2 linked regions of the Arabidopsis thaliana genome follow. The protein of the gene in region 2 purifies or fractionates together with the protein of the main gene of each other region. This does not show direct contact. Each region holds a gene or a part of one and is shown on either strand. Other genes may lie near its edges.

What was found.
Region 1: the proteins of AT4G31480 (region 2) and AT2G34840 fractionate together in Arabidopsis thaliana (co-fractionation; one large-scale study listed by BioGRID). This does not show direct contact.

Annotation. Positions count from the first base shown.
Region 1 is NC_003071.7:14,700,557-14,704,875, reverse strand, and holds AT2G34840 (Coatomer epsilon subunit), read right to left. Parts: upstream 2,389-4,319; 5' UTR 2,274-2,388; coding exon 2,100-2,273; exon of another isoform or gene 2,008-2,099; coding exon 1,918-2,007; intron 1,835-1,917; coding exon 1,683-1,834; intron 1,590-1,682; coding exon 1,454-1,589; intron 1,365-1,453; coding exon 1,209-1,364; intron 1,046-1,208; coding exon 966-1,045; intron 805-965; coding exon 711-804; 3' UTR 505-710; downstream 1-504. Other genes in the region: MEE25 (NAD(P)-binding Rossmann-fold superfamily protein), read left to right, coding at 1-84. UniProt on the Arabidopsis thaliana protein: The coatomer is a cytosolic protein complex that binds to dilysine motifs and reversibly associates with Golgi non-clathrin-coated vesicles, which further mediate biosynthetic protein transport from the ER, via the Golgi up to the trans Golgi network.
Region 2 is NC_003075.7:15,261,501-15,268,440, reverse strand, and holds AT4G31480 (Coatomer, beta subunit), read right to left. Parts: upstream 5,288-6,940; 5' UTR 4,366-5,287; coding exon 2,251-4,365; intron 2,024-2,250; coding exon 1,514-2,023; intron 1,422-1,513; coding exon 1,336-1,421; intron 1,262-1,335; coding exon 1,057-1,261; 3' UTR 1,056-1,056; intron 973-1,055; 3' UTR 550-972; downstream 1-549. Other genes in the region: AT4G31470 (CAP (Cysteine-rich secretory proteins, Antigen 5, and Pathogenesis-related 1 protein) superfamily protein), read left to right, coding at 6,138-6,695. UniProt on the Arabidopsis thaliana protein: The coatomer is a cytosolic protein complex that binds to dilysine motifs and reversibly associates with Golgi non-clathrin-coated vesicles, which further mediate biosynthetic protein transport from the ER, via the Golgi up to the trans Golgi network.

The DNA of each region.
Region 1 (4,319 bases), on a different chromosome or scaffold from region 2:
CAAGAAAGTTTAAAGATGGCATGGAGATGGCAAAAGCTTCATCGCAGTGGCTATGGATCTTCTTCCTTGGTTTCTGCATACTGACCATTATGCATTAGGTATGTGAGCATTGCCCTTCAAGGACTCCTTCATTAGAGTCTTGATTCTAGATGGTAGTGAAGGTAGTAGAAGAAGATGGATTTATTCTTAGTAGAATAGTATTCATCTTATCCATATATAGAGATTATATATGAGATTATTGATTAATAAAATATCATCCATGTCAATCACCTATTTTATTGTGATTGAGGTTTATCAAAATCCTAACGGAAGACATATGTCGCTTCTTTGTGTAAAAAGTGAAAATCATTGGTTGGAAAAAAATTGAAGTATTTCCAAGTGAGAAGCTTTTGTTTGTTTTGGTATTTCTAGTTTGGATTCAAACGATCGGTTGAATTCACTCAAGGTTTCGGGTTGAGTTACACGATCTGGATTGGTTAGGTTCGAAATTAAGTAAATGACAAACGGAATTGAGAGTGCGAGAGGTGGAATTTGATATTTTCAAGTAATGAAATGTAACTTAACATATCTAATGGCAAAAGCTGGTTCATATACTGGTTTCGAAAAGACAAGACAGTATGGTTGTTCTGGTAGATTTACCAACCCGGTGAAAATATGCGGTAAAGCAAACAAATCCTGCACGTCTTTTAGCTTGAACCATGGAAGAGTCTTTAGGCGACCAATTGAACTGCTCTCTCGAAGTTATCTTCAGCTGATGATACACGCTTCACAAGTATGTGTTCCGGGTGTGAAAGTTTTAGCTGGCTGCAAGAAGGATAGGTGATACAAATGAAGTTAACAAACGAGACCGACCAATGTTTTTATTAGGATTAAGGACACAGTTACTCTCGATTAACTTTTCAGTGAGTTCTACTGATTGATTGGGCAAATGATGCCTAATATAAGAGTAGATAATGAAAATTTACCTTAGGTGGCGTGAAGAAGACTTCCCGACATGAAGACTGCACACAACAAGATTTGCAAGAGTTTCTGGATCTTTAGCATCCTGCAATCACCACAAATTAGTATAAACACACTTCCCCATATACAGAAAAGCCAAGAGACAAGTGCAGTGTGAGAAATTTAGAGAGGTCCCTAGTTTCATATTGTTCCCGAGAATGCTAATGTACAGAGCAAATTTAAGGTACACAAGCCTAATTTGTAGTTACCTTGTTGAGTGCTTCAAGAAGTAGTGTTTCAGCTTCATCGAAGTTACCCATTTGCATACAGCAAACAGCTTTGCCATTCAAGATCAAGCATGTCATTGGGTACTTCTCAGAAAAATCCTCGAAAATGAGATAAGCTTCCTGTATCTTCGAACCGCCCTGAAATCAAATAACGCCTTAGCATAAGAAGCAAATACACAACTCTTTGAAAGAATAAGCCAGAACACATTGAATATTTCGCATTATACCACTGCCAGGTTCAACCAAGCGCTAGCAAGTTGAGTGAGAGTGTGGTCTTCATCAATCTGTTGCATCACTCTAAGCTGCTTCTCAGCATACTCTGCTCTATGCATCTTAATGAATATCTGAACATTCAAGGCATACCTAGAAAAACAATAGCAATGAGCCATCTAAGAACATGTTTTAAAACACAGTATAAATACTCAATCCACCAAATAAAAATCGAAAAAATCTTACAAATCCATAGTTCCTCCAGCATGAGTATGCTTCAAAGTTTCATTATAATCTTCTTCATGCATGAAAATAATACCAGCAATCAATCGTAATGTATCATTGTTTCCTATTGTTGAATCTGCTAACCATTCCTTCAAGCTTGAAATTGTTGATTCCTGAACCAATAACAATCGTTCCATATAAGCATTTGAATCTCTTTACAACATGTTTCGTGAACACGAATCAAAGCCGTAATTACCTTATTTTGAGGAGTCGATAGATACATAGCGAGGAGTTTGACTGCTTGTAGTGGAGTAGCGGCTGATTCATCGATCTCACTGATAACAAGCTTATACACACCAAAATTTGGAAGAACAGATCAAAACAAAACGTAATCGAATCTAAAGAAGAAGACATTATCGATATGATTAGAGAAGTAACCTGATAGCTACCGAGGGCGATGTAAGATCGGAAGACGAGACAGTCACGTTCCACGGCGTTTTCCGGCGAGAGGTTGGCGATCTCGCTGTTGTTGATCGCCGTTTGATAAGCTCCCAAATAGAAATTGTTTCTGAGGTTGAAGAGGTGATCTGGTCCTGCTCCCATGGCTGACATTGCTTCTTCTTCTTCTTCTTCTTCTTCTTCTTCTTCTTCTTCTTCTTCTTCTTCTTCTTCTTCTTCTTCTTCTTCTTCTTCTAGATTTCACAGCTTCGCGTCTAATTCCAAAATCCAAACGAAAGTAAACGGGTTAATAACATAATAACCCCTTAAGTTATAAACTGAATGCATAATAATCCCAGTTCTTTTTGAACTGTTCAAGTAACATCACTAATTTGATTTGGGCCTTGTGCGGCAAAATAACGAATCAGGTTCTTTGTTTGACTCCTGGGCTTTATATCTAGTTGTGTGTTGTGAGCTTTTGGTCAGTCTATGTTTTAAAATCAGAAACGTGAACAAGTTTTTTTTATATATTAAGCATATCACACACTACTCGAAATAGTATTAGACGACAGACATGGTTGAATTAGTGTACTAGATGTCTACATTTGGTAGTGTTCAAAAAAAAAAAAGATGTCAACATTTGGTTGAACGAGCTATTCTTAATTAAAAGAAAATCAATAAATTCATATTTGTTATTATCAGAATGTGTTAGGTTAGTTTTATCGGTCTAGATGATTTTGTATTACGGTGATGTTAATCGGTTGAATAGTCATTGTATATATACTTGTACAAAATACATTTACGGAAATTTAATCAGAAAATATCTTCTTCTTCATCTGTAACAAACTTTCTTATCTCTCGATCGTAATATGGTATTAGAGCCATCAAAGCTCAAATTTCTTCATAAATCATCTCATGTCGATCTAAGAAGCAACATGTTATTTCTAGATACTGAGCATTAGCTCTTGCTACTTGTGAGTTGGTTTGGTTGCATACATTGCTCGTATCTTAAACGGATACTACTTCGATTCTTATCTTGTTTTCAGACAGTACAGATGTTATCTATATTGCAATCAATTATATCTTCCATGAGAGCACGAAATATATTGAGATTGACTGCCATACCGTGCGTGACAAGTTGGATGATGGTGAGCTTAAACTGCTTCATGTTCCCACGGATGATCAAATAGCTGATATTTTGCTAAACATTTGTTCTCACATCAGTTTGAACATCTAAAGTCCAAGATGAGCATTCTCAACATTTTCGAATCCTCATATTGAGGGGTCATATCAGAGAGTGTTGATTTAATTTATCGGTTTAATTGATTTTGTATTACGCGGGTTATATTAACCGGTTGTATTGTCATCGTATATATACTTGTACAAAATACATTTACAGAAATTTAAGGGGAAAATATCTTCTTCTTCATCTGTAACAAACTTTCTCATCTCTCAATCGTAATAATTATATATAGGATATAGTTAAATAAACATAGTTCAAATTTAAATCATGTTATAATATACATATAAGAGTATGACTGTTGTTTTTGTATGAACTTGAGGAACACTTAAAGGGCATGGTCGATTTTACGTAAAGTCAATATTCATTTCACATGTTCAAAGAAGTCCTCGTGCTACACAACCCAATTAATAACATAAATCAATACTATAGTTTATCAAAAAATATCAACCTCTAAAGTCTAAATGTTCTATCAATTTGTGTACTTGTGATTCGTGCAATTCTCTGTGTAATGGGTTTAGGCTCGCTTTTAGCTGAATTAGAATAATTAATGAGTTATGGTTATCAGACATTAATTACATGCACCTTTTAAATGTAAAATGCATCTTCTTGGAATAAGCTCCTCTAGTTTGGTTCTTACTTTATGCAAATTTTGTTTTAATGAATCTCTTTTCTCAAGTAATCTATAATAAGTTTACTATTTGTAATCCCTAATAATCCAAAGGCCTTCTCACTTCTAAAAGTTATCATCATATGCATCTTTTAAATAGCATTGATGTGTCTAATCATACGTTACCAATCTAAACACACATATTCCGTGGTTAATCAGATTTATCTTTCTTTGTCAATTTAAATTCTTATATTGTTTTAAATATATCTGACTGGATAACAGATATTAAATATTACTATTTTTATAGAATCCGTTCATCAACATGCGTCACCGTAGAACGAGGGATGCATGACTTATTTTGTTTTAATTT
Region 2 (6,940 bases):
ACGGAAAGAAGCGAGTCAACCTCGCAGGCCCAAATATTGATTGTTGACAAGCCCAGTCCAATAGAAGTTGAGAAAGCATAGCCCCTACTTTTTTATTGTTTCCAAAACGACCCCAAACTTTTAAAAGTGAGCGTAATTAGGAATTATGTCAGTTTTTCCTTGAAACGTGCTCCAACTTTCGGTTAGAGATGGATGATTTTATGATAGAAGATGATGTATTTGGATCTTTCCTCTTCTACTCGCGTCTAGTATTTTCTTGTCTAATGATGTTAGCGATATCTAGTTACGCGAATGTGTATGTGATCGTCCCTTGGTACCTTGAGGCAAGTGATTTAAGATTATTAAATTTTGCTTAAAAATTATTGCTTGGTTTTCTTGAGAATAGAAAAGGCTGTAAGAATCAAATGTTATGGGTTTGGTTGTGAAGCAATTGGTTTCTTTGGCTTGTAGATTTTGAATATGGTCCATATTAATACATGCGTTTCATTACAACTTACTTGCTAACATAACCCGTATTATATAGCTACTAGCAAATTAAAGTCTAGCTTTGACAATTGAATAGTTCACTTCAAATGCATATGAAAGAAAAGAATAGAGATCAAATCTGAAATGACGAGTTCTAAAATGGAGCAAACCAAATGTAGCTTTGAAATCTACAATATCATAAAGTTCACGGTTTAAAGTCCTCAACAAACGACATTATAGAAGAAAAAGCATTACAAATAAAACAAAATCGTCTAGTACAGTAAAAAACACACTGCCATATGAGATGAAGAAATCCATCGGTACCATACCAGAAAATATACCGGTTAAGTAAGAACGATAGCCAATTACTCTTTTTACATATACCCTTGAACGCCTCCTCCCTCCATATAATAAGCAGATTCAACCAACGATAATTGCTCAAGAGAAACGTACGTAGTCTAAACCTGTTACCTTTGCACGCCACTGTGAGAAATCATCGGTATGGTACTGAAATTTAGACCAATTGCGGTTTAAGGATTAAAACATGTATTAATCGAGAAATAGAATATGTTTTGAAAAGATTAGCTAACCTCAGCTACTACCCTTTTGTTTGAGGGTGATTTTGTCCCCAAGACTTAGGGCAATCCCTTGCGTCTTGCTCCTTATCCTTATGTAACCACTCAATGCTCCATCCGTTTGCTTCTCAATACTCACATTCACAAGAGCATCCTCACCAAATACACTTTTTGCGTATAAGTTTGCTGCAAGGAATCCACATTCGCCTTCTATTGCGGATCTGCAAGTAAAGAAGTATTAATTAGTAAGAAGAGTTTTTCGTTTCTACAGGATGAAAGAAGAATTTACACTTACGGAGCAGTGAGACATTTCATGTTTGTAGATTTGATAATGTGGTCGAGGAATTCTCTTTCGTTTTGTATTGTGGTGTTCACAGCAACCTGACATAAAGAATACAACAGGAATTGGTTATACCAAACTCCAACAAACATACGAAAAGAAGGTACAACTATAAAAGGTTTCAATAAATTACCTTGTTTTCCCATTCGAACTCTGCCCACATAGTTCTGAAAGCAACCTCTGAACACACAGCAGGGGAGATATAGTCCATGATATCAATGTGTATGTCATTAAGAACAACGACGTTTCGCTCCATTACATTTGATGTCTCATAGACGATGTTCCCGAATATGACTCCCGTCTCTGTGGACGACACCTTGATGTTTGCTTTAATCTGCATGCTTCTTTCAGGTGCCAGACTGTAGTTCTGAGGACGCTCAACAAGTTTGAGATCACCCATGGTTGCTAACTCCAAGCACAAGTTCTGAAGGGTTTCCTTGGTTCGGTTGATTACTGTAACTTCAAGAGCAATATCATAATGGTGTACCGTCACATATGCTTCAGCATAGACTGGGTCACTGAATCCTGTGAGTTGAAGAATGCGGTTAAGTTTGTTAGCATCGTTCTCGTCCTTGGTGAATTCTCCAGTTGCACGCTTTAGGTCATCTTGTACTTGGTCTTCCAACTCAAGTTGACTCATTCCCTGAAAGAAACTTATCGTCAGTAATTTCAACTACTGACCGAAATAAATAAACATAACATGCCACTATCAACTTTCGAACTTTCTTTGAGAATGCGAAAAAAAAAATTGGATATGAACTGTAAGAAAAAGTAGACACCAACGTAACAGAACTGAACAGATTGAAAAGGAAAACTCATATGGAAAAAAAAACCCAATAAAGCAAAGGGAAGCTTAGGAAGTAATAATACCTTCCGACTCTTTAGATGGAAGAAGTCAATTAGATCATCAGGTTGAGCATGCGTTGTTTGGGTCTTCGCCTTCAGTTCCTCCATCTCTCTAAGCTGTTTTTCAGAAATCATCTTGACAAAACTCTGGCGGCAGGATTCTAACCATATCTTTTTCATCTCATCATTCCTATGGCAAAGCAATTTTATGCACAACACAATCCTCTCATACGAATCATTATCAATAGGGTGTGGAGAAACAGGAGATTGCCCAAGTTGCAACATAGAAACCATGATCAACAAAGCCTGTGTGACTGTCTTATTTACTTCAGTTTTAGAAGACTGAACCTCTTCTAACCTAAGAACAAGTTTGGTCAACGTGCAAGCAACCACTGCTCCGAGGAAAAAATCACCAGTTAGTAGCAGTGCTCTCAAATTTCCAGAAGTCAGTGATCCTTGAACAACTGTAGGTGAGGAGAATGTGGTTTCAGAGGCTGCGCTTTGGGTAGCATAAGTTCCATCAGCAAGAATCACTGGCTTTCTAGAGGACACCATGGCAGAAGAGGTAGGCTGAATCTTCTTTGATGTCTCAGTTGGCTCAGACTCCTCAGAAACAGAGTAAAATGGTAATTCGCCAAGGCATTGCGTGATAGTTGAAATGCCACTCTCAACTTCCGAAAGTGATAGGCAATACTCCCCAATTATCCAAAGGGCACAAGGGCAGACCTTTCCTGCTCGGATCTGATAGAACGTGTCCAATAACCTTGTGATGATTGAAACTCTTAACTTGGGATTTGTTTCTATTATCTCTCTAACAAAAACAACCACGTCAAGAGCTGAAGCCACATTGCTATCTCCCAAGAAGTCCATCAGAAGGTGGACCACTGTGCTTGCAACTTCGGGGAACTTCACTGCACAAGCGTGGATGGCTTGAATAAGCATTTGTCTGTACTCCCCATTCTTCTCAAGTTCTCCACTCTGTGTCTTCACAACTTCTTTCTTCAACATTTGAACGACCTCATTGATATTATGATGGGTAATCAAGTCAAGGGAAATGTCAAGCGTCTTCCTGCGGATATCAAGGTTTGGGCTTGAGAGTGCTCTGAGCACATCTATTATCAACTCAACCATGATATCTCTGTGCAATGTCTTAAGCTCATACAACCGATCGAGTAAAATAAGCTTCACATTGTTGTCACTCTGAGAAAGAAGAAGTTGGCAGTAGGTGTTGGCAGCAGCCCGAATCGCAGTAGGGGCAGATGAGAGAGAAACAAGTGTCCCAGCACATTCATAGATAACTGCAGAAGAAGTAGCACTTAACAGAGAAATAATAATCTTAATATATTTCCCCTTCTCTGCTGGTTTAGTCTTACACACACTTCGAATCAACTCCAGCACCACCATCTGAAGTGATTCATTCCAGTCTGAAACCTTGTCAACATTGCTCAGAAGATAATTCACTGCACGTTCTTCAGCACAGGTAAAGAGCATTAGAAATGCATTTCTCTTGGCAGAAGGATCTTGTTCGGTTGATAGAACTTTCTCGATCATTTCAGGCGCATCCACAAAGAGTTGGTCGCCTTGTGGAAGCTTATATATCGACATGATGGCCAGAATGGCATTCCTGCGAACAAATGGATGGCGATGCTCCAGATTTTGTAACACTGATGGAGTTAAAGGCTCCACAATTTCAGTCTCCTTCATCCGGCAGAGAAACCTCAGTGTCACTCCACGGATGTACTCATTAGGATGCTGAAGGTTATTACGAAGATTCTGGCATATCAAAATCATTTCAGGTAACACCTTCCCCTTAGAATCAGTCTTTTCAATCAGCTCCAGGTACAGCAACAGAAGCTTTTGGATTGTGTGGTCCTCAGAAGGTAGCACATATCTTATAATGGTTATGAAAAGCTGAGGAATGGTTTCACCATTCAGCAAAAGCATAATTGCCTTCTTCATGGCATCAACTTTAGCTTCAACATCATTTCCTTCGAGAGCTTCTTTAATCTCATTAGCAACTGCTGGAGTCCCTTTGTCATAGTGAACAAGCATGGTACTAGATTTGTCCATCTTCTCCGGTGCTGCACAAAAAGTGAAAGAGAAAAAAATCTGTGAGCTCAAATGAAAAGGAAAAACCATTCACGAACAAGTGTTCCTTTGTTAATATAAGAAATAGAAGATGAATAGAGCAAAATTGTTACAATTGATTAAAGACATAATGAAGTATAGATCACAAGTAAAAACAAGATATCAAAACTTTTAATATTTCTGGCGATTTCAAGTTCGAATTACTGAATATAAGCACCTTACTAGTGTCCTCATCAGTGCTAGAGTAAGTTCTATACAAGAAGTTCAACAGTATCATCGGCGATAATCCATACCTCTCTGCTTGGATTTCAATACATTGAATACATGATCTCTATTCTCGAATCCGTGGTTTATGAGAAAACATCATAATTTCAGAAGAATATTCGGTAATGTCCAATCAGAGACCCAAAGATGCAAAACATTGACAAATCTAAATCCTCAGATCCAGCAATACACATCACTGTACTACAACTACGACCAAAATAATAACATAAAAACGAAAAATCAGTTAAAACAGCTTCGGATCAACCAAAATTCAAAAAAAAAAAAAATGCGATCTATCTCCCCAGATTAGATGAACAAACAATGAAATCTACATAATTCGCAGTCTCACTCAGCTGCACAAACATGAAAATCGGTTTCCTACCGGAATCAGATCAATATTCAACGAGATCAAACAAAGAGCGCCAGAGAATAATTGAACATTGTAGATTTTCACAAAGGAAAAGGCAAAAGTGGGATCGATCTCTATGAAATCTGAGTCGCAAGTTTAACACAGAGAGACAAACCTCAAAGGTACGAGATCCAGGGAGAGAGGAGGAGGAGATCCACAGTAACACAGCTTTGGATCCAAGAGAAGATTTTGGATCTCGGAAAACAAAACACTCGCACCAAGGAAGTGAGAGATCAAATGTGCTTAATATTATGGTGGTGGATTCGTCAGGTGAATTAACTCCTCCAAATCCTTTTGGGTTTGATTTTGGAAAACGAAGAACGGAAAAAAGCGAGTCAACCTCAAAAGCCCAAATATTGATTAACGACAAGCCCAGTCCAACAGAACTTGAGAAAAATATAGCCCCTATTGTTTTAATTGTTTCCAAAACGACCCCACACGTTATAAAATAAACTGAATACTGAAAGCATAGGACACTTTGGGTCAGAGTTTATAACCTAGCTAACAAACGGTGGTCAACTAAATTGATTTTTTTCGTCTATTTGATGTTCTATATAATATAAATTTAGTTAATCAACGGTAAGCTCAATGACTATAAGCCTCACAATACAAATTGATCTCCAAGGAATGTATAAGATTTCTTGAAAACAAGGCATCCAAATTTGTATCACGTTCTCTAGCACACCATCTGATACGCCTCATAAATCTGCATAGTAAACATGTTATAACTAAACAAGTATTTTAAGAGTGGTCAAATTAAATATCTAACTTAGGTTTTCATTTGAATGAGTTTGTATATAATGTTTTATGCTTGGGATATATTCTCGTTGCTATGATAAAGTCTCTTCTTACAAGAAAAAAAGAAAACATCCTATTAAAACTTCCTTCATATATAATGATCTATTAATTAGCTCAATAATGTATGCTTTGTTTGAATAAAATCATTCCCTACAAATAATCAATGTTCCACCGAAATGATTAGCACTTGTCATTGCGCATTATTAACATAGCATGTGTTTAGATTCGTTAGATGATATATACGTACAAATATGAAAGCATAAACAATTATGTGTGTGTGTGTATATATATATGGTAAGGATCGTACTAGCTAGATCTAGAGGCTCAGAAACAAATCTAACTTAGCATCCCAATGGAACAAAAAACTCTGATATTCATCATCATTATCATAGTTATCAGCACTCCACTTCCTTCTCTCTCTTTTCAAATCCCATCAAACAGAACACCGACAACATCAACACTAATTTTTTCTCAAGACAAAGCTCTAGCCCGCAACACCATTCAGCAGCAGTTTCTCCGACCACACAACATCTTACGAGCCAAGCTTCGTCTCCCTCCTCTCAAATGGAGCAATAGCCTCGCCCTCTATGCGAGCCGGTGGGCCAGAACCCGCCGTGGAGATTGCAAACTTATCCACTCCGGGGGACCTTACGGGGAGAATCTCTTCTGGGGAAGCGGAAAAGGTTGGACTCCACGGGATGCGGTGGCTGCATGGGCCTCGGAGATGAAATACTATGACCGGAGGACTTCCCACTGCAAGGCGAATGGGGATTGTTTGCATTACACGCAACTTGTATGGAAGAAGAGTTCGAGGATTGGGTGTGCAATCAGTTTTTGCAAGACCGGTGACACATTTATTATTTGTAACTATGATCCTCCTGGTAACATTGTTGGACAACCACCCTTTTGAATATTGTCTACACTTTATCTTTACCTTTATTTTCCTCAACTATGTACACTTTATCTTTGTTAATGTGAAATCTTGTTTTGATTCTTGTATGTTAGATAACGAAAATGATGAATTACGTTTTCTCTTGTCTGGATGTCATATATGCTAAACCTTTCGGGTAAGGTTTCATTTGTTATATAAGGCACCAATAAAACACATGATTTTTAGTGTTGCAATTTGTGTTTTGATATATCTTTGTTGCCGTA